Linked DNA regions of Rattus norvegicus. The protein of the gene in region 3 purifies or fractionates together with the protein of the main gene of each other region. This does not show direct contact. Links are inferred from orthologs where the notes say so. Each region holds a gene or a part of one and is shown on either strand. Other genes may lie near its edges. The genes, in order: Bcl7b, Bcl7c, Smarcb1, Macroh2a1, Bicra, Top2b and Ss18.

Region 1 (4,183 bases), on a different chromosome or scaffold from region 3:
ACAGCCATAATGAAAAGAAAAAGCCTATGCAGAAAAAATACAGGTGTTTGCTTTCTGACACCCAGACAGGGGACCGAGGAGCATATTTTACATCTGGCTCTCCCAGGATTCCTTAGTTCCTACCTGGCATACCCTAAACTTTCCAGCCCAGTGGGCTGCCCTTCCCCAAGAGAGTCTTTTCTATATAATCCAGACTTTGTCTATCTGTCTGTCTGTCTGTGTGTCGGTGTGTCTGTGTGTGTGTCTCTCTCTCCACCCTTTTCTCTCCCCATTGTGACTTCTCTGGCCTCTGTCCTTGGGGTCAACGAACTCCCCGGAGAGCAGCTTCCTAATAAACCTGCCTATATATAATCTAATCTGGCTTGCATCAGCTCACTTCACCATTAGAGAAATGACCCATCAACAGGAACGGGGCTGAAGCTACTGTCTAAGTAAAGAGAGGATACAGGAGCAAACGACAAAGGAGCACTTTGCATAGTCCGGGCCGAGGGAGCCTGAGGTCTTTTCAGAAAAGAACTTCCTTTATAACTGAAAGAGGCGAGAAATGGAAGCTAAGACAGTGGTTTCTTTAACTGTTGCCCACCCCCTACTTACCTCCTTGCTATCTGTCACAGGCACCCATTTGAATATCCTCAGGGACGTGTCACCCACAGTCACCCATTTCTTCTCCCTAGAAGATGAGCATTAATTAGGATTAATAAATCACATTTCTTGTTTGTTTACTAACTCTGCTTTTGTGTCTCAAGAGATTGTTCCTTTGATCTCGAATGCCATCAAATTACACCTGAAGGTGGGTTTGTATAAGAGGATGTAACCAGAGTAGGGATGAAAGCCAGGGGTTGGGGAGTGGGGAGGCTTTCACTTGCATTCTTGTAATTTTAGCACTTGGAGGCTGAGGCAGGAGGACTGCCACAAATTGGGGTTGGAGGAAGGCACGAAAGACACTGATTGTGGCTCAGTCTTAACAGGCTTATTAGCATGCACTGGTCCTGACTTTGATCCCCCGCAGACAGAAGTCAGGGAGGATGGTGGAGATAATTTCCAAGTCTCTCTAAACTAGTTTTGTTCATTTTCCATTTAAGGTTCCTCCAAAGGAAGAACAATCACCAGAAAGGAACAGGCAGCAATTGCATGCTGGGTCACTGAGATTACTCACAGAGAAACACTACAGCTTTGTAGCTAGCTGCCTTTTTTCTCTGGCCAGGAACAACAGTGGGAGGCACTAGTCTAGCCTGCCCAAGGCTATGGGCTCCATCCCCAGCATACAAACAAAACTGACCCCTCCCTCAACATTCTTCCTTGTTCCTCCTGAGGTAGAAATGTCAGATTTACCAACGTACTAGCAAAGTAAGAAAACGTTGAGTGGCTTTTACTGAAGATCACCCTAAGGCAAACTATGAAGGCCTCCCAGGTCTCTAAACCCAACCGAACCAAGTGTACCCTCAACTCATTCAGCATTTCTCCTGTGTGTGTGTGGGACTGAAGTACAGGTGTTTGTTAGCTGCCATGTGGTGGCAGGAATTGAATGCAGGTCCTCTGCAAGAACAGCCCAGGGCTTTTAACCACTAAACCATTTTCCAGCCTCCAAACTTTTCCTTATCAGTAAAAAATAAAAGGGGATGGAGACACTTGAGAATTACATAGGAAGCAGAGGCATGCCATAACCCAGCACCTGGGAAGCAGAGAAAGGCGGATCTTTAGTTCAAGGCCAGCCTAGTCTACAAAGTGAGTTCCAAAACAGCCAAAGGTTTTTAAGACACTGATTCAAAACAAACAAACAAAACAAACAAAAAAATCACTCTAGCGGCCTCTTAGCCGCTGGGGAAACTGAGGCAGAAGGATCACTGCAAGTGTAAAGCCAGACTGTAGTACTCGGGGAGATCCGGTTAAATAAACGAAACAGGGGTTGGGGATTTAGCTCAGTGGTAGAGCGCTTGCCTAGGAAGCGCAAGGTCCTGGGTTCGTTCCCCAGCTCCGAAAAAAAGAACCAAAAAAAAACAAAATGAACGAAACAGTAACGAAATTACTCGTCATTAAGTGAGGGGGAATGGCTCAAAGACTTGGTTCAGAACAGTTTAATGCAATGAAATCCTGACCATTTGTCCGTTAAATCCGGGTTTGCAGTAAGTATTTGCAGAGACGGAGTCCCCTGGGCGCCTAGAGCAAACGGGTGCGCTGGCTAAGGGCCCCAGATCTACAGATATAAGGGATTTGTGTTCCAAAAGTGCCGCGTTTGTAAACTTCCGCTTAATTTCGACCACTTATAGCGCATAAGACTTGGCAACAACGGACATCACTGGACAGTTGCGATGCGCAGGAGCGGAAACCCAGCTGGGAGCCGCCAAGCCGCACTTCCGCGAGGTCCCCGGCGGAAGTGCAACACTGCAGCGCCAGGTCCCGCCCCAGGCAGAGCGGGCCGGAAGCGACTAATGACAGCTAGTGGGAGGGGCTAAGAGCCGACTGTCCTTCTGATTGGCTACTGTGAACGCGGACTCTGACTTCATGCCGACGCCGGCGCGCCCTCCTTTCGCTTTTTTCCTCCGGCCCCCTCCCCCCAGAGGCCGGCCTCTTGGTTCCCACCCTGTCTGTACGTGTCTGGCGATCCTCCGCGCCGGGTTTCCCGCAAACCCACGTCAGCAACCCCCCCCACTCCCGCCCCTCACCATTTCCGCACTTTCTCGATGGCCGCCATCACCTTCTTGATGTCATCTTTGGCCCGGCTACGGGTCTCGGCCCGGACCGAACGGCCGGACATGGCGGCGGCGGGGAGTGGCTGGGGGCCGGGACACTGCTCCCAAGACGCGGGATATCACGCGCCTCACGCGTCGTCGTCCACCCGCTGCCACCGCAGCACGTCACCGCGGCCGTCGCTCGCACCCCCCCCCGTGCGCGCGTGCGCGGGGGAGCGCGCGCACCCTCCCGCCCCTTGGGCCCTTGAGGCCTCAGCGCGCTTGCGCACCCGCCCGGGGGCGTCCCTACTGTGCACCTCAAGAGACCCTTAGACACCTCACTGGGAGGCCGAACCTAGTGTCGCCCGCACGTGGTGTGTGCCAGGCGAGGCCGCAATGATGTTGGTGGGATGAGATTTCGAAGTCACCACTTTCCCAATCTACTGCTTCCTGGAATTTGCTGTACTATAGACCAGACCAACCTCGAACTTCAGAGCCACCTGACTCTGCTTCTCAGGTGTTGTGTGCCACTGCATTTGACTAGAAACTTTTGTTTCATTTTTGTTTTCCGAGACAGGCTCTGTGTATCCCTGGCTGTACTGCAACTCTCTTTGTAGACCAGGCTGACCTTGAACTCAGAAATCTGCCTGCCTCAGCCTTTGGAGTGCTGCGATCAAAGGTGTGAGCCACTGCACCATTGGGAAGAAAATTTTTAAGTATATATGGTACAGAGGATAATTTGTGGGAGTTGGTTCTCCCTAGTGAGTTTTAGGCTGGCATCAAGTCCTTTAAACCCCTATGACTCCTGGCCCTTCAAGAATTATTTATGCTTTTCATGTTCATGTAACTGGAGACCTGTGTCATCACTGCTTAAATAGCTGTGTTCCAGAGTCAATATCACACCTTTTTCTTTTTGACTTCTCGTCTTCCAATTCTTCACTACCCACCTGGAAATTTCTTCTGATTGAATAAACTACTTTTTCAACATCCGGCTCAAACTGCAGCTTGTCCTGAGTATTTTGTACCTGGCTCATACTTAGCACTCAACTGCCATGGAATTCAGTTCTGGATAACACACGGCTTATGTTCTGTGTATTAGACCAAGTACTGTGGATATAGAAGTGTTTCTCCTTTGAAAGAATTTCTGAATCAGGGATTATGATGAACACATTCAATCCCAGCATGCTGGAGGCAGAAGCAGGTGGATCTCTGAGTTCAAGGCCAGCCTGGTCTACAGAGTGAGTTCCAGGACAGCCAGGGCTGGGGGTTGGGATGGGAGGGGAGAGAACAAAAAGAAAAGAATCGGGTGAGTGAAAGCAGTGCTAACAGACAAAACAAATAGTAGGCATCAAGTGTCCTGGGCACTTGTGACTCAAAGCTGACATTACATGCTCCCATGGTGGTATTCATTTAAATGAACATTGAATTTTTTTAAAGATTTATTTATTTTATTTATATGAGTAAACTGTAGCTGTTCTCAGACACACCAGAAGAGGGCATCAGATCCCATTACA
Region 2 (4,431 bases), on a different chromosome or scaffold from region 3:
GAGAGTGGACCAGGGGCAAAGGAAACAGACAGGCACTGGTCACACATGATGACATTGTGGGGGCAGAGGGGTACCAAGTTGCTGAGGAAGGAAGACTCAAGTTGGATCTTGTCAGTAGGGAATGAGCCAGGAGGCAAACGGAGGTAGAGTAGAATTTAGGCAGATAGAAATATGTGCTTAGTGACCACAGACTCTCAGTCATCCGCAGAATGGAAATAGTGACAGTAACACCATGAGAGGCTGCTGTGTGGATCAAGTACACGGCACATAGTATGTGCTCAAGAAGTGCCAGCTAGCAGTTTCATTCATTCATTCATTTCTGTGGTACTAGAGATGGGGCTTAGGACCTTAGGCATGACAGACAAGCACCTGCACTGGGCTGCATGCCCTGCCCCATCATTTCATATTAGCGAAAGTATTTGGGACAACCTAGGTGTGGTCCCAAGCCCCATGTCATGGTGTTCTTGACAGGGGAACAATTTCAGTAGCAACAGTTTATAAAGGCCTCTGGTTCAAACGAAGGAATCAAAGGCCACGGGAGCCAACGAAGGACACAAAGCAGGAAAATGGCCGATTGGAATCTGCTCTAAGAAAGCTGTAGCATGTGGAGGCGAGAGCCAGTGCAAGTGAGAAGTGAGAAGGGAGCGCCAAAGGCACGGGAGTCAGCCATGCCTGGGAAGGGGGGGTGGACTACAGGAAGGCCGAGGAGCTGGCGCACTGGCTCTGCAAGTCTGGGCATCTTTCTCTGGATGTTGGGCTCCTCGTGTATAAATAGGAATCATCATAGGATCATTGGTTCCATAAAATGTCAGTGAGGGTTAAATGAGAAAACAAACCACAAAACATTGAAGTGCTCAGAAGAATGACTAACAGATAAGTGGTTCTGTCAGCTGTTAATCTACGGTTACTAATCCCTAGGGTTATCAGAATTATTTAGTTGCCGAACATCTATTATGCGTCCCACATGAACCAGATCAGTGTGTCTGACATGAGATGGTAACAGAGAGGCAATAAGCAAGCAAAAAGTACATTTACATAAAGTTTTCAGATGGCGACACGCTCCCTACAAATCCAAGATGCCAAGGAATGAGCCAGGCACAGCCAGAGGTAATTTCTGCCAGGGTCAGGAAAGGTTCCCTGAGGGAGGCAGGACGGGGGAGGGGGGGGGGGACACAACACAATATAGAAACACATACAAGGCGGTAGGTTCAACTCTGGTGAGGAGAGGACTCCCAAGAGCCACATGGTCCTACCTCTCTCTTGGCCCAGTTGTGGGGGCTGAGTATCTTCTGTAATCACCTCTGGAGGTCCAGTTGGTGATCCAGGGCGACTGGGCTGGGGCGTCCCCCCAGGGCTGGGCTCCGTGCCCTTTTGCAGTGAACCTTCGGAATGGAAACTCTGATTGCTGTTCTCATCTGCTGAAGCAAAAGTCAAGTTAGTTGGCCAGAGGACCCCAGTGGCTTCTTTCAGCACCCAGCCCCCCCACCCCTATTCCAGAATCTCTACATACCATTGAGATCCAGCAGGATGAGGGGGCCACCCCCTCTGGGACTGGTGCCCCTACCACGCCTCTCCCGGCCACGAGATCTCTCTGCCCCTCCTCCTGCCCGCCGCCTCTCCTGAGGGTTAGAGAAGTAAGATCAGAGCTAGTTTGTCCAGGGAGCTCTTACAAAGTCCTTCAATTCAAATAAGGAAACCTAGGCTCAGAGAAGCAAAAGGTGCTGCCTCAGGTTGTGTAGGCCGAGTTAGGTCTTGAACTTGGAGAAAGTGTGTGTGTGTGTGTGTGTGTGTTTGTGTGTGCGCGCGCGCGCGCGCGCGCGCTTCCGTGCTCATGCCCCCTAATAATCGTTACCATCTGCCTGGGCTCCACAGTGGAGTCTCCAAGCCGACTGAAGGTGGAGGCCAAGGGGAGGGAAATTGCTTGAGGTTGCACAGATGCAAGGCATGTTGGGGGTTGGGCTTGCTCACCTCCTCCTGGGGATCCACCACAGGCACCCACTTGAAGATTCGAAGGGAAGTGTCACCCACAGTCACCCAGCGCTTCTCCCTGTGGGAGGTCAGGAGACTGGGTCAGGGAGGCCCAAGGGTGAGCCCCACAGACTGGAGGTCAGGGAGGTGTGCTAGGGTACGGACAGCTTCGTTTACACGGCATAGAAGCAGAAAGAGCCCTCTAAACCCCAGGGCAAAGCATAAACGGATATAACTTGGAGCTGCGGTTTTGCAGACACCTGGGGCACTCAGCAGGGCGCCACCAAGGCCTGCCCAGGCACTCAGGCAATGAAGACCCCGGGCCAAGCTTGCGAGAGTGTCAAAAGCTTCAGGGGGCGGGGCATAGATGAGGGCTCCCGCTCAGGGAAAGCACCACTCCGGACCACGCTTTGTAGACCTCTGGGAATTGCCAAGGAAAGGGGGCGCCCTGTCGATTTAGATCACAGCTGGTGGGCGGGGGCAGCGGGCCAGGAAAGGGCGGACGCGTTTGGAGGAGGTGGCTTGGCTGTATCCCTGACCCGGGGGCAGCGCTCACCATCTCCGGACCTTCTCGATGGTCGCCATCACCTTTTTGATGTCATCTTTGGCCCGGCTCCGGGTCTCGGCCCGCACGGTCCGGCCGGCCATGCTGGCGGGGCTAGGGCCGGGACAGAGCCCGTGGTGGGGCGGCCTGCGGTCCGGCGATCTCAGGCTGCGCGCCAGGCCCCGGCGCCGCTCTTTCGGCCTGCCGTCCCTCCGGGAGTTGGCCGCGCCCTCCCTCGCTCCCCAACGCCTCCGCGCGTCCCCGCCTGGCTTCCTGAGACCGCGCCCCGCCCCGGCCCGTCCCCGGAGCGGCCCGGGCGGCGCGGGCGGCTAGAGCCCCGGCCTGGAAGCCCGGCCAGCTCCGCCCCGGCCCGGGCCCGCCCCTCGGGGCGCACGGACGCACAGCGCCCTCTGCCCGCCGCGGAGAGGGAGAGCTGGGGGGCAGCGGTGCGGCTGGACGCGCGCGGCCCGAACGAGGCGGTGCGTTCCGGCCACGTGGGCACAGGGGTGCGCGAGAGGGACTGTCCTGGTGTGCGTCCGCGGCGGGTGGGCGTCCCTGAAATGCTCTGTGTGCGCGCGTCTGCCCTCTCCAGGCTGTTTGATTCTAAGCTGCCCAACTTAACTTGTTCATTCATTCATTCATTCATTCATTCATTCATTCATTCATTCATACATTCATTCATTCATTCATTCATTCATTGAACAGTTCCATTAACAGCGCCTAGTACAAGCCAGACTCTGCGAGTGGAGAGCCGGCCTCCTCAATCAGAATGGCGGGAGTGAAAAAGACCATGTAGATGAAGTAGCAGAGGAGCAACTTGCCATTCCTTGAATCAGGGTGTGTAATTGGTAGAGATAGTTTGGAAAACTGGCAGTCTTCCATTGAAAAACTTATGCCAACCCCGTCTTCCAACAGTTTCCACTCCCAAACTAGCAACACTCAACAGAAGGAATATGTGCTGCCTCTTTTTTGTCAACTCGTCACAAGCTAGGGTTATCTGGAATGAGGGAACCTTGATGGAGAAAACGCCTCCATCATGTTGCCCTGCAGGTAAGTCTATGGGGCATTTTCTTTTTTTTTTTTTTTTTTTTCTTTTTTTTCTTTTTTTCGGAGCTGGGGACTGAACCCAGGGCCTTGCGCTCGCTAGGCAAGCGCTCTACCACTGAGCTAAATCCCCAACCCCGGGCATTTTCTTGATAATAGTTGTTGTGGGAGAGCCAGACCACTGTAGGCAGTGCCACCTCCGGGCACTTTAAGAAAGCAGACTGAACAAGCCTTGGGGAGCAAGTGAGTAAGCAAAGTTCGTCCAAGGTTTTGCTTCAGTTCTGGCCTCCTTCAGTTCCTGCTTTAAGTTCCTGCCCTGACTTCATAACAGACTATAACTGCAAGCTGAAATAGATGCGGTGTTTATCACAGCAATAGAAACCTCACTAGGACGAAATGTGTCTGTATGAACACCAAGATATGTATACTGGGAAGTTCGGTACTCTTCATAATAGCACCAACCTGGGAGCCACTCAACAGAATGGAATGGAAAACCAGTTACAACCTGTTTATACCATGAGCACAGACAAAACAACCAGAAAAACCAAAGTCCTGCTATGTGCAATGGTGGGGATGGGTCTGCAACAAAAGAAGCCAGATGTGACAACATGCATTAGATAATTCTACATCTAAGTTCAGAACACAAGTACATTCATGGTGTTTTCCGGGAGCTTGTCACACTTGTCTTTAGTCTGTCAAGATGGACATTTATTACTTGTAATTTTTCTTGTGTGTATTATAGTTCAGCTAAAGGTTTACTTAAAGAAAATGAATGCTGTCAAGATATCTCGGTGAACAAGGGACTTGCCACAAAGCCTGATGACCTAAACTCAATAGATGACCCCACATCATAGAAGAGGGAACCTACTCCTGAC
Region 3 (4,144 bases):
AAAGATTCTGGACTTGGGCATTCATTTCTTCAAAGTCCTGTGACTCCTGTGGCAAATGACAGGATGACAGGGACATAGTCATATCCGCTGCAGACGTCCTCCCAAAGCAGCTCCACAGAGGTCAGAGACACTGCTAGTGTGCTGCATCTGTCCCATCTGTCTAAAACTGAATCCATCATCCAGACAATACTGCAGACAGAAAATACTATATGACCCTGTGCTCTTCCCAAAATCAAAGCCAGGCTCCAAGGAGTGAGAAACCACCCATTTTGGTCTTGGGGATAACTATTCTCATTCAACTGGGAAGGCAAAGAGTCAAGAGCCCAAAAGGAGGCTGTGGTTGGACTTCTAAAACCGAAAACATTCGATGACAATTACCTCAAGAGACATGTATTTCCAGTTTAAACATCTCGGATGCATGAGAAAAATAAAACCGGTCAAGAGTACTCAGTGCAAGAACACGTGTTCAGTGCGCAAAGGCTCAGGGCTCCCCAGCATGAGAACTGAGGAAGGCAGGAGAAGAGAGTGGCGAGAGGGTAAGGAGGCACAGCAAGCTGTCCCGAGGTTCTTCCCACATGACCAGGAGCTGTCTCTCAATTGCTCCACCAGATACGTATTTTCTTTTCAAAACTACCCCCAGCCTCTTAGAGCTCAGGCCAGATTTACTCTTTCACTGGTCAGTTCAGGGAAGCGTCTTTCAACAAATTCTCCTGCATAGATTGTTCCTTATGTACTGACCTTGCATTTGCACAAATGCCTACTGGCCAACCAGCACCCTTCCGAGCCACAGGAGATGGCCGGGCCCTGACTGCACGTCCCCAGCACTGCCACCTTGGAACAGTAGCAGAGGTGATGGTGGGAACAGTCATGGCAGCCTGCACTTTTTGTTTAATGGAAAAAAGTGAAAGCAGAAATGCTAAGTCTAGATGTTTCTGACAATACTGGTCCCACTACCTGATTCAACCAACACCCTAATGGAGTATAAGACACTCAACAGCTGCCAGGAGGTAACTGCTGGCAGTTTGAAATGGCATTAGTTAGCTCTCTAGGGTGGGCCCTACCTCCTTACACATGCTATATGTCTACTGGTTAATATTCACATATTGAGGGGTTGGGGATTTAGCTCAGTGGTAGAGCGCTTGTCTAGCAAGCGCAAGGCCCCCAGCTCCGAAAAAAAGAAAAGAAAAAAAATTTCACATATTGGAATTTTATGGTTTTTTTTTTTTCTTTTGAGACTACGTAGACCAGGCTGGACTCAAACTCACCCTCTATTCTACCTCTGGAGTGTTCAGGTTAAAGGTGCAGCCTAGTGCTTGGCCACCCACAGCTTAAAATACAAAAACAAAACAAAAACAAAAACAAAAAAAAACAATAAAGAAAAAGAAAGAAAGAAAAGGAAACATAAACGGGATGTGGTGGCACCAAGTGCTTTGATCCCAGCATTTGAGAGGCAGAGGCAGGTGGATTTCTGTGAGTTCAAGGTTAGCCAGGTCTCAAAGGGGAGTTGCAAACCAGCCAGGGTCACACAATGAGATCTTGTCTCAAAGAGAAGGGGGGAGTGGAGACATAAACTGGTTGGCGGTTGCCCTTAGATGGAAGAAAGCTAGTTTGAGACAATCTGTTTTAAAAAAGAAAGAAAAGAAACTTCATACATTTGGCTGGTCTGTAGGTCTAATTGTAGGGTTTTTCTAAGACAGTGGTTCTCAGCCTTCCTAATGCTGTGACCCTTTAATACAGTTTCTCATGTTGTGATGACCCCTCACCATAAAATTCTCCCGTTGCTACTTCATAACTATAATTCTGCTAGAGTTACAAATCATAATGTCACTATCTTATATGCGGGATATCTGATGTGGGAGCCCTATGAAAGGGGTAGCAACACACAAGAGCGAACCTAAGGAACTATGTCCACTTAACTGAACAGGGGCTGTCTCTTCTAGTTATGAGTTATGGGTTAGCGATCCTTAGATTTATCCCCTATAAAGACTCAAAATCAGTTCACAGATCTCCAAAATGTTAGTGCTTCTGGCCTTGGGGCCTCAACCACTCAAAAGCAAACATCCTCCTCCAATCACTTTCTACACATCATAAAACTTATGCTACTGCACTCCACCACAGAAACAAGGACACAAAGGGGAGGAGGTTTTCCTAAGCCTCAGGCTTACAACTAGAGGTTTCAAGACCATGGCAGTGGGGTGCACGAGAGCTGCCGAAGGGCTCAAGGGCAGTACTGCACCTCCAAGCACCCAGGGGCTTCCCAAACATCCTTTTTCCATTTGCCTAGAGTGAACCGGCTCGATGCTCTAAGCTCTAAGCTAGGGCAGATGCTTAGGGTCGGATGTTAAGTGGGTAAGGAAACCTAGAGGCCACGCCCACCAGGCCACGCCCCAGCTGCGAGCACGAGCCCGCCTCCGCGATGAATGGAGGCGCGCACTCGGGGAGCACTGGCCCGCCCCGGGATTCGAGCCGGCCAGCCGCTGCTCGGGAAGCCGAGAACGCGCCGCGGGCTACCTCGGAGCCGATCATGTAGAACTCCCCGTCGTCCTCCAGCTGAAACTTGACGGGCTTCTGCCCGAAGGTCTTGCTCAACGCCATCATCATCATGGCGGCGGGGGAAACTGGCAGCCGGGGTCGAGCTGGAAAGAATCCGGTGGGCTGGGGCGGGGCCGAGGCGCGTCGGACCGAAAGGAACGGAGGCCGGGAGGTGAAGGACGGACAGGGCGAGCCGGGCAAACCGGGAAGGCGCTCGCGTCACTACTAGGTTCTTAAGCCGTCTCTGCGAAGAGCAGGCCTCCCTCCGTGCGCATGCGCGTGGGGGTGCTGACGCTAACGTGCGCGCCGCCGCCTGCGCGAGCGCGTTCCCGCAGGCCCTTAAAGGGACCCGAGCTTCTTTTGCTTCCAGGCGGGTATGGAGGGAAACTTCTCAGCGACAGAAATAGCCACTGAGGTCCTGACTCAGGCGGTGGCTTTTCTAGTGGCACAGCCTGAGATGGCACTCCGCCCTGGGATGAAGGGAATAAATGAGATGTTAAGCGGGGAGAAGAACCGCTCCATCTGGAGCGGGGTGGGCATGGCGACCCCAGGCCGGCCAGGTTCTCCACCCGAAGGTGCGCTAGGAATAGCTAGCTATCCGCTGCAGGCCCACAGCTATTCCCGAGGCAGTAGGGATGGGAAGAATAACAGTACTGGATGGAGGTTGGTACTATTCAAAGATCTATATAATGTGCCAGGTGACCGGGAAGAGACACTTGCCTTCCTTCCTTACCTCTGCAAGCTTGGTGCCCACAAGCCCAGTCCTGTTCTGTGCCTCTGCCGGCCTTGGGCCTTAACAGCCCCGAGGCAAGACAGAGCTTCTGGAAAGTGTCCAAGCAGTCCACCCTCTGTTGAACAGAGCCTTGACTCCAAAATGTTTAAGTAATGTTTATTGTAGCGCTATTACAATAGCTTAAGTTATAGCCCAGCCTAGGTAGAAGAATGGTTGAAGAAAATGTAATCTAGGCAGGGTGTCGTGGCTAGCCCCAGCACTCGGGAGGCAGAGACAGGAGGATTTCTGTGAGTTATAGGCAAGTCTACACAGTGAGTTTCAGGACAGCCAGGGGTAGGTAGAGAAACTGTCTCAGAAAAAAATAAAATAAAATAAAGCAAAAAGAGTGAAATGTGTGTACACGACGGAATTATTTTTTCAGCCCCCAAAACGAAATCGTTTTCAGGAAAATGGATGCAACTGGAGATAATCGTATTAAATCAAGCCAGTCTGAGAAAGACAAATAGGTTTTCTCTCCTTTGTGCTTTCTAGATTTCACATAGATTCATAAAATATGTACTACACAGAACATGAAAGAAAAGTGACATTGTGTATGGGAGCAAAGGGACTAACAGGAGAGGGAGGGGGGATAGGGGAAGTGGGGTATGGGAGGGGGAGGATGTACAAAATATAAATACCTTTAAGAAAGTGGAAATCAAACTGGCCAGTTTCATAAGGGTCAGCCTAATGAGACCATAGTTGTGACTAGGGTCCTTAGGAAGGAGATGTTAACTAGGAAGGGCCGTGGTAACCAGGAGTTTGCCCAACTGTCCTCACAGCCACGGGAACCAGAGTGTTAAGGGCCAGGCATGGTGGTTCACACTTTTAATCCCAGAACTC
Region 4 (4,351 bases), on a different chromosome or scaffold from region 3:
GGGGACCTTCCTGTAGGGGTTGGCAAAGGCAGGCCAGCAGGAGGTCCGTGGCTTGAGTCTTATCCGCAGGGCCCAGCCACAAGTCAGAGAGAGATGGAACCCAGAGTGCAAGGCTCTGCTCTAGCATTGGCTGCTTCATCTCCAGTGCGGCTGTGGGTGCGCTCTCTAACTTCTCTGTGAGGTGGGACTGACACCCCAACCACACTCGAGACTCCAAGCTTCCTACGTGAATTCGCTACATATCCTAGGGCCAGCAGATGTCTGACCTACCCGCCGAGGTCCAGGGACCGTCCACAGACTCTCGTGGGACTATCCGGGAGCTTCCTGGGTGTGCGCTGCCTGGACCTGTGTCCTAGGGACACAGGCCTGGGGCCCGCAGGCGCAGTAACGCAACACGTGGCCAGCCTCGACAGTTCAACGCTTTCCTAAGTTGATTCGCACAAATCTCAAACTGCAAATATGGGGCTGGGGATTTAGCTCAGTGGTAGAGCGCTTACCTAGGAAGCGCAAGGCCCTGGGTTCGGTCCCCAGCTCCGAAAAAAAGAACCAAAAAAAAAAAAAAAAAAAAAAAACTGCAAATATAATAAGGACCACAGATCCAGTTGTCTTTTTTTTTTTAACATTTTTCATTTTCAAATCTATCATTAAGACAAAAAAGTAAACAAAAGTTAGGTCTGTTGCAAATTTTATGATTTTTTTTTCTCTTCTGAGGGGGAAAAACCGTAATAGTAAAAAGAACGCCACTGGGTGTACAGTAAAGCACCACAACACGCGTTACAAACGGGGCTTCCTGCTGCTGCTGCTGCTGCTGCTGACACAGGGGCACGGTCTCTCCACTGCTCTGTGTTAATCAGGACTTCATTAAAGTAAAACTATAAAATCTCCTAGGTTAACTAAGTCAGACACGGTCTGGAACGCAGTGCTTAGCAAGGACAATGCCAGCTATCAGTGCTAACAGAAAACATTGTAGAAGGCCAAAAACAATCAAACCGGAAACCAAAACCTTATTTCCCCTAGATGAGCAGAACTGAAAAGGAAAGGAGCCCCCACCTCCCCATAAGAGCCGAGGGGATTTTTTTCTTTTTTTTTCTTTCTTTCCAGTTGGAGGTGGGGGCCACGACATGTGCTGGCTCTAGGGAACGCTGGCCTAGTTGGCATCCAGTTTGGCCATTTCCTGCACGTAGATGCCTATGCTCTCACTGTCAAAAAGCACAAAGTACACAGTTTTGATGGAGGACGACATAGTGGACACAAAGTAGCTGGAGATGGCCTTCAGAATGAGTTGGGCGGCTGTCTGCTTCGGGAACCCGTTCCTGTAGGAGAGAACACAGGGGGTCAGCACTCAAGGTGTCTACAGCGAGCAGGGTCCTCACCCTGGGCAGGAGATGCTCCCACAGGTGTGAAGAAAGCCCTCACAGGGTAAGCTGTATTAGAGAGCTGTCACACACCGTTGGCACTTGGGTGTGAGCTCTACAACATGACCTCCCTCGTCTCACAGCAGTTACCCCAGGTGTCCTCCTAGCCCCCGTGTCTTGAGGCAGACTGCCTTTGATGCAAGGGGAAAGGAGAGTGGATGGCCAGCAAGGTTACCGTTAGTCCATGGTATAAAAATGTCTGTTGTGGGGACAGGAAGCCAAGCTCATCCCTGGACACTGCTCGGAGCTCTGGGAGCTCTAGGCAGACATGGCTTTGGTGGGGCTCCCCCAGCAGGTCACTGCTAACTGGTTTGATATCTATGAGCGGCTTGCTCTCTCCATTAGGCGTCTAGAATTGGTTTCTGCTGGGATGTTTTAAGTGTAACATGACCTGGTGTGAAGTTTGCAGTCTCTCTGCTGCTTACTGTCTTCACGTCCACTTGCTGCGTGTTAAACAAGCTCAACTCGTTCAAAACCATAAGCACTGCTGTGGTAGAACAGACAGAGCCATCCAGCGCTCACAAGACGAGGGACAGGCAATATAACCAGGCATCTGTGAGCAGGAAGAAGAGGTGGGACCCAGAGAGCATTCTAGACAGTGGCAGCAAGAACCAAGGACACTGAATGCCGAGCGTGGAGCGGTCAAGGTGCGCAAGCTCCTGCTGCTTTTCCCCATGGTCCCCGGAACCGGCAGTCCATGAAAGCTCCACTGCTGAGGCGCCTATCAGTGTCAGTCCACCATGGCCATGGGGTCTGAGTAGCTCTGCCCTCGAGTTGTATAGAGCACTCTATACAAGTGCTCTATACAAGTGGCAGTAAGGGCTGTTGGTCCAGGGACCATCTCCAAACTGCACCAGCTAGTGTTAGAGCAGAGGGCAGGCAGGGCAGCCACCGTGGTGCAGAGCAGAATTCTGGGGCAAGTGTCGATAACCTTGACTTCAGGTCATCACGGAAGTCTCCAAGTCAGCATCCTGCCACTGATGTCACAGGGGGCTCCGAGTGTGAACTCAGGACCTGGAAGCCTGAGCCAGTCCCTGGCCAATACAGCATGTGCTCTTACAGAGTGGTCTGGCCCAGTGGAAGGAAACTCTGCTTGGAGCAGCCTTCAGGGCTACGCCTTGCTCACTGCAGTCTACAGTCCCTAGCCCACCTGCCTGCCACTCTGGCTGGTCCTCTCTGAGTTGATGATGTGATCACAGCACACGCAGCCTTCTACACTGTGCCTGTGACCCTGACTCCCCACCCCGCCCCCGGGAGCCGCACTCTCCCCAGCTGTTAGTGCTCAGGGCTCTTCACAAGGCCACAGGAAAAGCTCTTGCGACCTGCTTTCGCCTGGGAGACCTGGGCCATTGTGGGGTGTGATACATGCTCAGGGCCTCTCCCCATGGAGCTCGGCTCGGAGTTCCAGACAGTCTGGTTTCTTCCCGGAACAAGCCTGATGGTCTAGCTAAGCTGGGGGTCAGTGTGACAGAAGTCAGGGCTGCAGGGAGGCACCAGGCAGCTGGCACAGTGGCCGCAATCCTCTCAGGCAGAGAGGGGAGCACAGGAACGGGCCAGGTGGGAACTGCTGATCTGTTGTAGAGAGAGCGCGTTCCACCCTCTGTGTGTATCCTGCTGGAGCCTGCATCCAGGCCCAGGGAGCAGAGAGGGTGGCCGGGGCAGGCAGACCTCAGTCCGTGGGCACAACCTGGGCTGGCAGGCTCTGAGGAGAGTGTGCAGGGAGCTGTTCTCTGCATGGGTAGGTTTGACCCATATTCCACCAGTGCCATGCTACTGAAGGCCGGCCTGCCTGCCTGCCTGCCTGCCTGCCTCACTTCACGCCCCTTCAGATGAGCAGAGCCGGGGAGGCCCCCCAGACGAACGGTCACAGCTGCGTGCTGCTCCTGTGCGCTCAGCCAGCTGGTGCGCTTGGACTCTGCCGGGCACCGGCCAAGTGTGTGATGTGATGAAGATACATGGTGTTGCCCTGGCCTCTCTCCCGACTGCAAGGTCAGTCTCCTAAGAGCATCACAGGAGCAGGTTACGCCTAGCCGGTTCAGCTGTGGCTGAGGGAAGGCTCCTCCCTGGTCCTGGGTTCTAACTCTGAACCTGTGGCTGGTGCTGACATCACAGAGAGTTTGCCTTGCACACCCGGCTGGGCTCTGCACCTGGAGCTTTTGCCCCTCAGGCCTTCGGCCACTCTGACTGGGAGCCGTGGCCTACATGCAGGCAGCGGGTCAGGACTCCACAGTCTGGACTCTCAGAATGCAGAAGCTGGGGAAAGGGAGGCTGAGAGGTTTATTCTGGTAGGGTACCGCCCACCTCACATACCATACTCTAATCTGGCCTGCTGCTGGGCCAATGGGAGCCTGGATTGGTCCTAGGGAGCCCCGCTCTAAAGTAGCAGACCATGGGGAGAAGCAGAAGCAAGACGGGCATCTCCCTGTGCTGCTGGGCAGGGTCCCAGGCGCCCCCTAGCTGCCCTAGCTAGACACACAGGTGATGAAGTAGATTCATGGCTCCCCTAAGGTGAGAGCCTCTGTAGCTACACAGTGCCTTGGCTGCCCCATCATAGATGACCTGATGCCCTCCGCTTCTGGGTTGTGCCCTGCCCTAGCCCGGTCAGGTCAGAGTGGTGGGACAAGATGATATGTATTAATTAGGTAGAGTGTGGGGTCCAGGCCTGCTAGAGACAACTGGACTCCAGGATCATCCGAAGGTGGGAGACTATCCCCCAGAGCCTCAGAGAGCTACGACTGAGTGACCGTTGGCATTTAGTTACTGTGAGCACTTTAAGCAACGCCCGCCTCAGCTTGCCAGAGCCTGCAGACCAGTGTATGGTGCCCAACTGTGCTGGAGGGCTGCAGACCTGGACGCTGGCACAAACACAGGCTTCGAAGCACGGGCACTACTTTGGTTCCCATCTGAATGCCCCTCCTGTCTTGCCAGGTCTCTGC
Region 5 (4,389 bases), on a different chromosome or scaffold from region 3:
TCCTTCCTCCTTCAAGGCAGATACTTGTAGTCCAAGCTAGCCTCAAACATGCTAGCCATTAGAGGGGGAGGTAAACTCCTGGTCTCCTGAGTGCTGGGACTGCATGCCCCACCATGCCTCATTTTATGTGGTGCTGGGGACGGAACCGAAGAGCTCTTACTTAGCAGTTCCCAAGTATCCGTGTGACTCATGAAACTAGGTCATAAAAGGTACTGTGGCTTCCTCCTGGCTCTCTATCATAGGGTGCTTGTGACAAGGGAAATCAGCTACCATATCCTGAGTACATTTAAACAGTGAGAGAGGGGCCCACGGGAAAGGTACCTGGGCCTCCTGGCAGTGGCCACAAGAAGGGAGGTTAGAGTAAATATATAGTTGACTCTAGACCAGCACATAGAACGGTGGTTCTCAACCCTTCTGATGCTTCGACCCTTTAATACAGTTCAAGTTGTGATGACCGGCAACTATAAAATTATTCTGTTGCTACTTCATAATTGTAATTTTTCTACTGTTATGAACCACAATGTATTTTCTGATGGTCTTAACTGACTCCTGTTTAAAGGTCATTTAACCCCCAAAGGGGTCACAACCCACAGGTTGAGAACCATTGCCTTAGATGCTTGTAGCTCCTGTAATATACAGACTGCTGTGACCTCAGGGGAAGTCCCTGAGGCAGGACCACCCAGCTGACTCTTGACCCAGATTCCCAACAAGGCAAAAGTCTAACAACTAGGCACTAAGTCACCATGTGGGGGTAATCTCTCATACCACTGTAGAATACAAAGAGTTCCACACTGGTCCTCCAGACAGCCACATTTTCCAAGATTTCCTGGGACACAAATCAAATCTGGGTCCCCGAGAACTGCTGTCAGGTTCAGAATAAATCAATCAGTCATGTGTGATGGTGGGAAGGCAGGGCGGGCAGGTGGATCTCTGTGAGTTTAAGGCCAACCTGACCTACCTAGTAAGTTCTAGGTTAGCCAGGACTACAAAGAGAGAACCTGCCTCACAATAAAGAAATATACAAACAAATAAAAACAAAATCACCTAACCACGTCTAAAGCACTCCGTGCTGTCTCATAATAGTTCTGAATTTAGCCTCTCTCTCAATGTTACCCCTGCTAGATAGAGCACTGTGGTCATCTTTAATGCTGCCACCCCAGAGTGACCTCCTCTGACCACACCAGCTAAACGAGATCTTTCCTTTATTTTCTTTAAGACATAAATATATATCTTATATTTGGTGCTATCAGAGGCCAGAGGAGGGTTGGATCCCCTGGAACTGGGTCCTCTATAGAATCAGCCAGCACTCTGTTCTCTAAGACTGGGTTTCTCTGTGTAGCTTTGGCTGTCCTGAAACCCACTCTGTAGACCAGGCTGGCCTCAAACTCACAGATCACCTGGCTCTGACCCCTGAGTGTTGGGATTAAAGACGTGCCACCACCACCTGGCCTACAGCCAACATTCTTTACTGCTTCAGCCATCTCTCCAGCTTTAGGCTTTATCTCTCTCTCTCTCTCTCTCTCTCTCTCTCTCTCTCTCTGTCTCCTCTCTGTCTCTCTCTGTCTCTGTCTCTGTCTCTGTCTCTCTCTCTCTCTCTCTCTCTGTATGTGTTTGTGTACACACCTGCTATACACATGTGTATGCAGGTGCACATAGGAAGGAAGGAAGGCAGAGGAAGACAGTGTCTTGTCTTGGGGGTGAGAGAGACAAAATTAGATTGAGGTAGTTTAAGACCCAGCTGCCCCTTCACAGCGTGGCCCCTGGAGGTAATGGACGTAGGGGGTCACAGCACTGTTTCTGGAGTGCACAGAGCGAGACGGAGGGATATAAGGATCAGGTACCCTCCCACACAGAAGTCCTGACCAGGGATGGGGCAGCATTCTGACCCTCCTTCATCATGCCCAACACCCCTCACACCTTCACCACTCTGCCCCATTACCCTCAGACACAGCCCTGTCAACTCAACTGGGAGCTAAGAGAGGGGTCAGCAAGCTCCAGTGATCCTCCTGTCTCTACCCTCTCCCCAGAGAAACGAGGTTACAGTGCACATGACCATGCCGAGCTTCTGACATGCATGCTGGGGATTTGAACTCAGGTCTCCATGCTTACGCATGCTCTCCATACAGCGATCTCTCTAGCGCCTCTCATTATTTCTTTCTAGCCATTTTCTGTATGACTTTTAAAGAAAACCTTAACTAGTGAATAGTAAATGACATTCATTCATTCGTTTGTTTATAGGCAGGGGCTTCCTATGTATCGCTGACCGTCCTGGAGCTCACTCTGTAGATAACTCACAGAGATCTGCCTGCCTTTGCCTCTTGGGTGCTGGGATTAATAGTCTACACTTGGCCTTTTATTTATTTGTTTTTAATCTAGTATGATATTTTAAGAAAATGTATATATTCAATACAGCATCATTTCCAAGTTAAAAATGTGCTGAGATCTTTTTGCTGCGGCCCCCTCTCCCACTCATCCCCCCTTTTAAATGGCTGGCTTAGTTCGTTAACCAGGAAGATGACAGAGCAAGGAGACGAGACTTAGGGGACCTGCACCTCCCTTCGGATCCTCCAGCCCCATGACCAAAGAAGGCCCCTCCATGCCTTTGGCACTTACCTTTTCGGATCCATGCAAGAAGTCATTGAGGGCCTGAGGGTCACTGCAAGAGAGAGGGAAAAGAGACCTTAAGGAGCTAGGCTGAGGAGTAGAGGGAAGGGAGGGGTGTGGGAGACGGGCGTGGGTGGGTGGGGGGAGCCCGTTACTCACCAAATCACGTCTAGTAAGCATCTCCCATCCTCATCATCCATTTCCACTAGATGGGGTGGGGGTGGGAAGAGGGTGGGGGAGACACAATTAGATTGAGGCAGTCTATAGCCCAGCTGCCCCTTCACGGGGTGGTGGAGGTAGTGTGGGGGGTGTCTGACCAACTGTCTCTGAAGTACACAGAGCTAGGTGGAGGGGTACAAGAACCACCTCCCAGGTACCCTCCCACACAGAAGTCCTGACCAGGGACGGGGTAGCATTCTTACCCTCTGTCCTCCTGCCCAACACCCCCCACGTCTGACAGTGATGATGAAGGGGGTATCAACTGAAATGAAAAGGTCTCTTACACTAAGTGCTGCAGAGAAGTCTAACTGAATAAACTATGGCACCCCCACTTTAAGGGTGAGGAGTTGGAGGCACCAACTTCCAGCGAGTGGGCTGTACATGCCCGAGTCCTAGGGAACACATGCGCTCCGGCCTCCAGGGTGCCATTCTACTTTGCGTTATACAGTCTAGTTCAGAGTCAAAACCCAAACTCGCTGGGTGTTAAGATGGCCTGCACCTTTGATCCCAGCACTTGGAGGATGTCTGTGAGTTCAAGATCAGCCAGGCCTGCATGGTGAAACCCCGTCTCAAAAACAAAATAACCTGAACTGTTCTCTCAGGGTCTGTAGCTCACACCAGACTCCCACCAGGCAGGCTTCCGCTTGAGTTCGCCAGCCATGCCCCTGAGCCTAAGCATGTCACGGCTCACTGTCCTGTTCTGACTACAGTCTGTGGCCCGTCGGGTGTGGTGGGGGCCTGTCCTGAGTATCAGTGGGATAGAGCAAGAGAGGGAGGGTGGAATGAGAGAGTAAGAGAAAGGGTCACCACACTCCTGGGTGAATCCTGAAGACCTACGCAGTGTGGGTCTCAGGCAAAGAAAGGTGACAGGCATGATGTATGGCGGAGGGGACTGAGGCAGCAGGAGCAGGGAGGGTCACAAGGCTGGACCAGAGAGGTGACAGTGTGGGGTTGGCCTCCACAGCTGAATGATGAGGATGCGGACGGCTAACGTTTGTCTGGAGCTGTCTGGCGCTCTCCACTGGCTAGCATTATCAGAGCCCATGACAAAGGTTAGCGTGGTCAGCCCCCGGGAAGGGGAAGAGGCTGCTTTTTACCCCTGCACCCCAAAAGGAACGGATGCTGTCTGCATTTTCCCATCTGCCTCCCACCATACAGAATTTCTGCCTGCCAATCAGCCACCCAGTCCCTCAGAGCATCTAACCACATCCTCTCAGCCCTAAAACATTCCTCCAAAGGGCCCTTCACATTCCACACTGTCCACCTTTTTTGAGACAGGGTCTCTCACTGGCCTGGAGCTCACCAATTAGGCTAGGTTAACCAGCGAGCTAACCCTAGGTATCTCATGGCCTCCACCTCCCCAGTGCTGGGATATCATGCCCTGCTCTTTATATGGGTTCTGGGAATCCAATTCATATTCTCACTCACAATCACTTTACCAACTGAGCTATCTCCTCAGTGCCCACCTGACATTCTAAGCCTCTGTCCTCCTCTCTCCCCTCTCCATCCTTCCAAATATCCGTCCTCCTATCCAACTCTCCTAGTTACAGATCCATTTGATCATCT
Region 6 (4,342 bases), on a different chromosome or scaffold from region 3:
TCTGCTTAACAAAATAGGACAGAAAAATTTAAGCCCCCTGAAAGAAGTCTCGCCTGCATTATGTACTGCAGGGGGTATATGAACCTATGCCAAAGCCCACATCAACTCATGCTATCATCTTCCAGTAAAGAAGACCAACCAGGCCCCGTGTGCTGGCTCCCAATCTCAGCATTCACAAAGCTAAGGAAGGAGGATCATGAGTTCAAAGCCCAGGTAGATGAATGTACATATACACTCTCTCCTCTCTCAAAAACACATGCACAAGCAACCTGTAAGGTTTATTACAGACAGGAAGATGCTGGCATTAGGAACAGAAAGCAAGCAGCAAACCTGAAAGAGGATTTCTTCTCAATAACCTAATTCAAACAAGATATATTTTATTTTACTGTAATTCCCATAATCTAGTTCATAGCAAAATTAATGTGCCTATTGTAGTTTCACATAGATTTTTTTTTCTAATTTGGAATGAAACTCTACAAGTTTTGCCCCATTTTGTATGTAAATTAAAGTTTTCCATTGACCTTAAAAGGAAAGGTGCCCATTAAATTAAAGCATTGCTACCATGACTTAAAAACAAACAATCCGGGTTGGGGATTTAGCTCAGTGGTAGAGCGCTTGCCTAGCAAGCGCAAGGCCCTGGGTTCGGTCCCCCGCTCCGAAAAAAAGAAAAAAAAAAAAAAAAAAAAAAACAATCCAACTGTCTCACAAAATGTTTGCCATGGTGACAGAATTTGAGAGGTGGCCCAGCTGCACTAGCTTCACTTCCAGAGGATCTGGGTGGCTGCAGTTCCAAGGTATAGATGCCCTCTTCTGGCCTGGTCTAGGCACCAGGCGCTCAAGTGGTGCACAGACATACGAGCAGGCAAAACACCCATACGCATAAAATAATAATGTAAAAACAAAAGGGCTGAGAGGGGAACTAGAGAGATAGCTCAGTGGTTAAGAGCATTCACTGCTCTTCTAAAGGTCCTGAGTTCAACTCCCAGCACAAATATGGTGGCACTGACATCTGAGCAGCTTGTCTGTGACTTGGTTCCACGATAGCAACTGCTTTCTTTTTAAGACTTATTTATGTGTATGAGTGCTTTGTCTGCATGTACCCTACACACCAGAAGGCAGCAGCTCGGATGTCAGTGCTTCCACAATCACCAGTGACACTGGCATATGATCGCAGTCCATCTTCAGACGTTTAGTTTTAGTACCAGGTAAGGGTCAGCCATTTCAATCATTCTTTCCAAGGACACACGCGCACTAACTTACTATCTAACTTTTCTTCTCCACGCTCTCCTACTGCACTGCCTAGAAAGAACTACTTATTTCTGGAGATTCGAAGATAAGAACCTGGCAAGTTACACTGCAAAGTATCTTGCCACGGCCCTGCAAATGGTTAAACAGTTTTCCTGCTGTTTATAAAAACATCCTTTTTATAAGAAATGACTGTTAATCCAGACTCATCTAAACCTCAACCGAACAAAGAAACCAAGGAACAAAAATGCCAAGCAATACCAACTTCCTTAGCGTGTTCAGAGGCGAGGGATTTGGGATCCTCTGGAAGGGGTGTGTTAAAGTCCCTGAAATGTGTAAATTTTCTGTCCTAGCTGCTGGTCTCATCTGCTAAGTCTGATGTTTTGCATGGGAAATGACCCTGGTCTGAACTCAGTGCGGAGTAAGTGAAGTGCTGGAGTTATCGATCTGTCGTGGGAACCCTGCTCCAATTGCTCCTGCTGCCTCGCTACTTCCACTTCCCACTGGGAACTAGGCTCTGCGATCCTCCAAGTTCCGGCTTAAGCACCCCCTCCCTCACCTCCTGGGGAAACCCCTGAGTCCCCACGCGATGTACCCGGGAGGCTGACGTAAGTAAGCTCTTCCCTTTAATCCCGCGGGCAGATGGACCAGCTGCGGTCTCTAACCTGCTGTCAAAGTCATCCCAAATACCCTCTCTGCGGAATGAGCCTTTAAAGGGGAGGCGCAAACCGCAGTGGCCATTCAAGTTCACGTTCCTTTGGGACAGGCCGCCGGAAGCGGTTGCATTTGGCATAAGTTCTGCAATATTTTCTGGCGCTGCGCTCGTGGAGGCTCGCGTTATCGCGGTCCCCTACGTCCTGGTGTACACCCTGAAGTTTCAGGTGAGCATTCTTCCGCAGCCTGAACCTCGTAGAGGCGGAAAGCAGAGAGAAAAAGGCACTCAGGGATAGGCCCTGCCTGCAGCCCGACAGGGCGCCCGCCGCGCCGCGCTCTCAGCCCCCGCCCGCACAGCCCGCGGCCCACGAACAATGCGTCCGCCCGCGCAGCACTCACCACCCAGGTCAGCGCCCCGTCAACGCCCGCGAGGCTGGACTTGGCCATGGCAGCGCCTCCCGTGCAGGCCAGGGGCTGCTCGCGCACCGGGGACGCGGCTCGCACTGACCGCTGCGCGCCGCACTCCTAGCCGCGCCCCATCGCGGGCCCGAGCCGCTGAGGAGGCCGCGCCGCCCGCCGCCCTCAAACTCGAGCGCGGCGCCCGGGCCTAGAGCGCGGCCGAGGGCGAGGAAGGGCTAGCAGTGAGACGCGGTCTTCCGGGGCTCACGCAGGCGATCGGGATCGCGAATGAGGGGCGAGGGTCGGCGCGGGCCGGCGCGGGCCGGCTAGGAGACGCGAGTCAGAGCCCTGACACGAAGGAGTCACTGCTTCTCCTCACGCAACCGAATCCGCAGAGTCCTCGACGCGGTCGCCGCCGCCTCAAAGGCCGCCACTGCCTTAAAGCCGCTCAAGCGGTGTCTGACCGGGTCCTTAGGAGCACTGGCCGAGAGGGACAATAAACAGCCGCTGTGGTGGCCTCCCTTTAGTCCGGCATAACACCGCACACACAGGCGCGCTCGGAGAGGGGGAGGGTGCGGCGGCCACCGGCTGTCAGTCAGCCATGGACCGTCCAATCACGGTCTTGTCGCTACAGTCCTTCGACCAATCCCAAAATTTCAGGCCCCCAGAGGGGCGGGATCCGAGGGGAAAACGTCATTGCGGGTAGCAACCGAGAGGCAGACTTGGGTTTTTTGTTTGTGTGTGAGAGTGTGTGTGTGTGTAAGAGAGAGGCAGAGTGAATGGGGTTTCCGTCCAAAGGGAGAGCGGGCGGCTGTCATGGGTCATTCCCGGGCATCCAAAGGAGCCGGGAGTCCTGGGACGAGGGCTGTGGAAACCTCCGGGCAGTGGTCTTGCAGACCTGCCGGGAAGTCGGGGAGGCTGGAGAGGAGGGGGAGGGTGGGGGCAGGGAGGCAGGAAGCCTTAGGCGTCCCCAGAGACTGGGCCGGGGAGTGAACTGCAGATGGGACCGTTTGCCGTTAGGAGCAGCCGGATCCCCTACCCCACCTCAGGTCCCAGGTTGCTGCTGCGCAGAGCGTCCGCCAGACTCCTTGTCCTTCATCTGCCCGCCCCCCAAACGCTGCAGGCAGTCTTCAGTGTCACCACTTAGGGAACTTAAACATTGCCCAGGGAACGTTCCTGGGAAGGAACGCGAGCAGGTCAGGGCTCCCTTCCCGGGCTACTGAGCTTTCCTCCCAACAGTGCAGAAGGGTCCCTGTCGGTTCTCACCTGTCAAGGACTGCACCAGCACCACCACGTCTAAGAGGGCACATATATCGTTTTTTGAACTTCAAGAGTGGTTTTCAGGTACACATTAAGGATAGACTTTTCTCGTGAGGAAGCTTTCTAAGAATAAAATGTGCCACACCAAAGCCTTTGGCAGACGGAAGAGCTCTTGACTTCACCCAGCCTGTAAATGGAATTACATTCAACAAGTCCTTTTTGGGTATACTCCCCGCCATTCTCTGCCAGGCGTGGCAATGGGTTTAAAGGGACAACAGCCTCAGATGTCAATCTTCCAAGAGTGACTAACAGAGGACGCTGAAGAACTTTATCCCGTTGGAGCTAACAGCTTTCTGTGAAAGTGTTTCTGTGAGTCTCTCTGGCGGCTAAGGACTTCCCTTAAGGGAAAACAAAAATGCCTGGGGTCATACCTTTCAACTGCAGCATTCTGAAACCAAGGTGGGCAGCTCTGAAACATGAAAATAATTTAAACGTAGTTCTTAATTAGCCCTCTGGAGACCATGAATTTTCAGTTTTATTTGGGTATTCTGACTAAACACCAAAGCCTTTCTTTATTTTGAATTTGGTGTTCTAGCTTGTAAATCACTAATCAGGACCTAAAACTGGGCTGGACTCTGACTACAGAGCACCATGGCCTTGTTACCAGCTTTCCCAAGTTCAACTTTGGGCCTTCTTACCTGGGGACTTTTTATGTACTGTGACTTTACATCCCTAAGTACTCAAATAGTTCATGTTTGAAAACAGATGATTTTAAAGGATGAGT
Region 7 (3,632 bases), on a different chromosome or scaffold from region 3:
CTGTGAAGTGACAGATGCTTGCTGCCGTTATTTGCATTCACCTTGCCAGTCTACGTTATTCTGGGGTATTCTGCCATCCGTAGAATTGGCGGCCTTTCACTGAACTGCTCTGTTCCCGTTAGTGTGTTAAGGAAAACCATATGCATCCTAGATAATCAGAGTTGACGTTTAAACTTCGTGGATAAGCCTTCAAGGGCGTGTGCAGAGTGCCGGGTGTGTGCTGCCTTCCTCTCCTGTTTTCTCTGGATTTACGTTGATCCTGAGTGCTGTGAGGCCTTGGGGGCAGTGACAGAATTCAGGAAGGTAGTGACTGAGCTGCAGGCAGATAGAGATAGGGCTCAGATGGCACGGTTGTGTGGGCTGTGCCCTGTGCTGGAATTTCCTCTCTCCTGGAAGGACTTTGAAGTGAGATAGAATTTTGTTGTGATAGATATTTGAGAGCCCCTCCCCTAGCGATGCCTTTCATTTTGGCTCCAATATTCAGATACAGCCTAACTTCTAAGTCAGGAGTCCTTTGGGCAGTTTTTGAAAATAAAAATAAGGCAAACCTTTCATTTCTTGAAAATGAAATTTAAAAGGCCCAGTCAGGTTGACAATAAATTATGAGTAACAGCATTAAAATGTTTTTATCACATAGAGTTCATGACTAGAGTGATAAACTCAGTGGTTAAGATCACCCGTTCTTCTGGAGGACCCGAGTTCGGCTCCCAGTACCCACATGGCAATTCATGACTGTCTGTAACTAGGGGATCCTGTGGGCTCCTCCGACTCTACATGTGCACGGCTCACACCCATACTGCAGCCACTACACCCAATGCTTCTGAGATGTGCAGGTGAAAAGGACAGGCACAGAGGTGCACTTTGAACTCGGCTTGACATTTGTAATCTTGCCAGGTACTGTTAGCAAGCTTGCTCTGTGGATTCCCTGGTTGCCAGGGTGCCCTGGGAAGTGCAGGTGACAGCTTGCATTGCAGGTACCTACAGTGCGCCCAGGGTCTGCCTCCTTGCCAGTCTTACTGAGCCGTCTTCCTCCTGCTGTGAAGAATTCATTTCCATGCTGAAGGGCTCCAGGGCTTTGGAGAGCTTCTACATACAGTGATAAAAACTGGAGAGACCCGAGAAGAGTTAGACAAAAGCAGAACACACAGAGGTGCTCAGGGAGACAGCAGCTCTGAAGAAGCTTTTCTTCCCACGGAACAGATGGTCACGTTGCTGAGGAGGTAAAGCTCTGTGCTCACATTGTCCCTGGAAACTTAAGGAAGTGGCTGCTTGGTTTTTAGATGTTTGTTTAAATTAATAGTGAGCCTCTGACTCACTGTGTCATCGTGGCCTGCACAGCTTTCCCTTTTGTACTTTAACTCACCCCCAAGTTTGGCGCTATGTAAGCAGGACTGCAAGACGACACACAGACACTCGAGTCAGCGGGCTGAGAGTGTGGGACTCTGCTCTTTAAGGACCCGGCAGCCCTCGGGGAGCATCTGACACTGCTAGGCGGCCACACAGAATTCGAGGGCCACTGCGGGTCACGTGACAGATCTTCACTGTATGTGCTGCAGCAGTGGTGCTGAACTCTCACCCTGTAGAGTGTACTGAGCCCATGCCTTACTACAGACCTTTTCCTAACTCTCACCCTGTAGAGTGTACCTGTCTCTGAGCCCATGCTTTACTACAGACCTTTTCCTGGTAGTTTTTAGGGTGGGGAGACTGGGAGTAGGAAGTTAGAGGGTGGGCAAGGTGAGAGGATTTTAGTTATTTATTAAGGAGCACCGTGATCCTGGAGGCTGGAAAGATGGTTGAGCTGTTCTTGGAAAGGACCTTGGTTCACTTCTCAGCACCCACATGACAGCTGTCATGTCTGTAACTCCAGCTCTAGGGGATCCAGTGCCCTCTCCTGCCTCTGGGCATACGTACAAATCGTTCACAGATACATACATGCAGGCAAAACACCTGTACACATATGATTAAAACTAAAAAAAAAAAACAAAAAAAAAACAAAAAAATTTCTTTTTTAAGAAAAAGCACTGTAGGGCTGGAGAGATGGCTCAGGGGTTAAGAGCACTGACTCTTCTTCCAGAGGTCCTGAGTTCAAATCCCAGCAACCACATGGTGGCTCACAACCATCTGTAATGAGATCTGATGCCCTCTTCTGATGTGTCTGAAGACAACAACACTGTACTCATACATAAAGTAAATCCTTAAAAAAAGAATGTAAAATAAAAAGATATTTCAAAGAAAAAGAAAAAGCACTATATATTTCTAGTTTGTAAAGCTTATAAAAGGTTTGGGAAATGGAAAGTTTTTTTAATTTTGCATAAAATTGAAGTTTATAAAATTTAACTGATATGTTTATGAAGTGCTTCTGTAGGTTTCTGCTTACCACTATTGCATAAATGTGTACTAAAAGGAATGAGAGTGTAGGGCCGGAGAGATGGTTCAGTGGGTAGAAGTGTTGCTGCTCTTCCAGAGGACATGAGGTCAGTCCCAAGCCTTCACACCACCTGTGACTTCTGCATTCCAGATGCCCTCCCTCCCTGGTCTAGCCTGGGCTCCTGCATGTATGCAGCGTGCATAAGTCATGCAAACTCACACACATACAGAGAATAAGTCTTTATCATCCTCTCTACATACAGAAGGAAACAAACCCAGAAGTGGGTTTCTTCTGTCGGTCTTATTTTCATCGCTTTCCTCATGCTGTGGTAAGATGCTTTTGCCTTGAGAGCCGGTGAGATGATGCGGATAGAAGATGTATATGCCAGAAAGAGCTTGTTTCCATGTTGATTTTTTAAAAATGACTGGAGTGCTCTGGTGGACCTGAGGGTTCCACTGGGGTTTGGTTGTTTTCCTTATTTGCAGATAAATGTGGGCCTGTGAGCTTTGTGCAGACTCATTTATACTTGCAGTCAGTGTCCCTTGTTCGAGTACACACTTTGTGTATTCTGTGGTAAGAGTCTTGTACCTGTCATCGCATGTTGAGCAGCAGTGCCAGAACACCGCGTGATGATGTTTTTCTGTCTTCAGGTCCCATGATGCACCAGCAGCCTCCTTCTCAGCAGTACAGCATGCCACCTGGAGGTGCGCAGCATTACCAAGGACAGCAGGCGCCCATGGGGCTGATGGGTCAAGTTAACCAAGGCAGTCACATGATGGGCCAGAGACAGATGCCTCCCTATAGACCTCCACAACAGGGTGAGAAGCCATCTGGAAAATTCCTTGCTTACTGTAAATGACAGTCATTGAAAGGCTTTAAGTTTTAATGTACTGTTCATCCTGGCTTTTGTTGCACTCCCCTGCCACCCACCAAGGTAGCAGGGTTTAGGGAACCCTGAGGAAGTCCTGAGGCATAGAGGAGCTTCCCAGCACATGGCTTCCTTTTGTCTGGTGTTCTCTAGGGAAATACCACATCAGAAACTTTTCTATCAAATTTACTCATTTACATCAGAAAATGCCCTCTCTCCCTTTTTTAGAAGTTACTAAGTATATGACAAAGAACAAAGCCAATTTTATATCAAAATGCCTTAATACTAATGTAACAAGTAAAAAGAAATCAGTTTCCACCTGCTTCAGCCTCTGCTTCAGAGGTTGCTTTTCTGAGTTGGTATTGTTTGGTATTATGTGTATGGTCTTACTGATTT

What was found.
Region 1: the proteins of Smarcb1 (region 3) and Bcl7b purify together in Homo sapiens (affinity purification with mass spectrometry; 6 studies listed by BioGRID and IntAct, with this or other methods). This does not show direct contact. The link is inferred for Rattus norvegicus from reciprocal best matches to the Homo sapiens genes SMARCB1 and BCL7B.
Region 2: the proteins of Smarcb1 (region 3) and Bcl7c purify together in Homo sapiens (affinity purification with mass spectrometry; 7 studies listed by BioGRID and IntAct, counting the BioPlex papers as one, with this or other methods). This does not show direct contact. The link is inferred for Rattus norvegicus from reciprocal best matches to the Homo sapiens genes SMARCB1 and BCL7C.
Region 4: the proteins of Smarcb1 (region 3) and Macroh2a1 purify together in Homo sapiens (affinity purification with mass spectrometry; 3 studies listed by BioGRID and IntAct, with this or other methods). This does not show direct contact. The link is inferred for Rattus norvegicus from reciprocal best matches to the Homo sapiens genes SMARCB1 and MACROH2A1.
Region 5: the proteins of Smarcb1 (region 3) and Bicra purify together in Homo sapiens (affinity purification with mass spectrometry; 3 studies listed by BioGRID, with this or other methods). This does not show direct contact. The link is inferred for Rattus norvegicus from reciprocal best matches to the Homo sapiens genes SMARCB1 and BICRA.
Region 6: the proteins of Smarcb1 (region 3) and Top2b fractionate together in Homo sapiens (co-fractionation; 3 studies listed by BioGRID, with this or other methods). This does not show direct contact. The link is inferred for Rattus norvegicus from reciprocal best matches to the Homo sapiens genes SMARCB1 and TOP2B.
Region 7: the proteins of Smarcb1 (region 3) and Ss18 purify together in Homo sapiens (affinity purification with mass spectrometry; 9 studies listed by BioGRID and IntAct, counting the BioPlex papers as one, with this or other methods). This does not show direct contact. The link is inferred for Rattus norvegicus from reciprocal best matches to the Homo sapiens genes SMARCB1 and SS18.

What each region holds. Positions count from the first base shown.
Region 1 is NC_086030.1:27,143,770-27,147,952, forward strand, and holds the start of Bcl7b (B-cell CLL/lymphoma 7 protein family member B), read right to left. Parts: upstream 2,863-4,183; 5' UTR 2,756-2,862; coding exon 2,664-2,755; intron 671-2,663; coding exon 595-670; intron 1-594. UniProt on the Homo sapiens protein: Positive regulator of apoptosis. Plays a role in the Wnt signaling pathway, negatively regulating the expression of Wnt signaling components CTNNB1 and HMGA1.
Region 2 is NC_086019.1:191,751,766-191,756,196, forward strand, and holds the start of Bcl7c (B-cell CLL/lymphoma 7 protein family member C), read right to left. Parts: upstream 2,877-4,431; 5' UTR 2,617-2,876; coding exon 2,525-2,616; intron 2,048-2,524; coding exon 1,969-2,047; intron 1,620-1,968; coding exon 1,511-1,619; intron 1,419-1,510; coding exon of another isoform or gene 1,416-1,418; coding exon 1,254-1,415; intron 1-1,253. UniProt on the Homo sapiens protein: May play an anti-apoptotic role.
Region 3 is NC_086038.1:12,739,604-12,743,747, reverse strand, and holds the start of Smarcb1 (SWI/SNF-related matrix-associated actin-dependent regulator of chromatin subfamily B member 1), read right to left. Parts: upstream 2,801-4,144; 5' UTR 2,605-2,800; coding exon 2,512-2,604; intron 1-2,511.
Region 4 is NC_086035.1:8,543,525-8,547,875, reverse strand, and holds the end of Macroh2a1 (core histone macro-H2A.1), read right to left. Parts: intron 1,314-4,351; coding exon 1,148-1,313; 3' UTR 608-1,147; downstream 1-607. UniProt on the Homo sapiens protein: Variant histone H2A which replaces conventional H2A in a subset of nucleosomes where it represses transcription. Nucleosomes wrap and compact DNA into chromatin, limiting DNA accessibility to the cellular machineries which require DNA as a template.
Region 5 is NC_086019.1:85,811,779-85,816,167, forward strand, and holds the start of Bicra (BRD4-interacting chromatin-remodeling complex-associated protein), read right to left. Parts: upstream 2,805-4,389; coding exon 2,764-2,804; intron 2,657-2,763; coding exon 2,614-2,656; intron 1-2,613. UniProt on the Homo sapiens protein: Component of SWI/SNF chromatin remodeling subcomplex GBAF that carries out key enzymatic activities, changing chromatin structure by altering DNA-histone contacts within a nucleosome in an ATP-dependent manner.
Region 6 is NC_086033.1:11,539,618-11,543,959, forward strand, and holds the start of Top2b (DNA topoisomerase 2-beta), read right to left. Parts: upstream 2,848-4,342; 5' UTR 2,347-2,847; coding exon 2,299-2,346; intron 1-2,298. UniProt on the Homo sapiens protein: Key decatenating enzyme that alters DNA topology by binding to two double-stranded DNA molecules, generating a double-stranded break in one of the strands, passing the intact strand through the broken strand, and religating the broken strand.
Region 7 is NC_086036.1:6,061,323-6,064,954, reverse strand, and holds part of Ss18 (protein SSXT), read left to right. Parts: intron 1-3,018; coding exon 3,019-3,186; intron 3,187-3,632. UniProt on the Homo sapiens protein: Appears to function synergistically with RBM14 as a transcriptional coactivator. Isoform 1 and isoform 2 function in nuclear receptor coactivation. Isoform 1 and isoform 2 function in general transcriptional coactivation.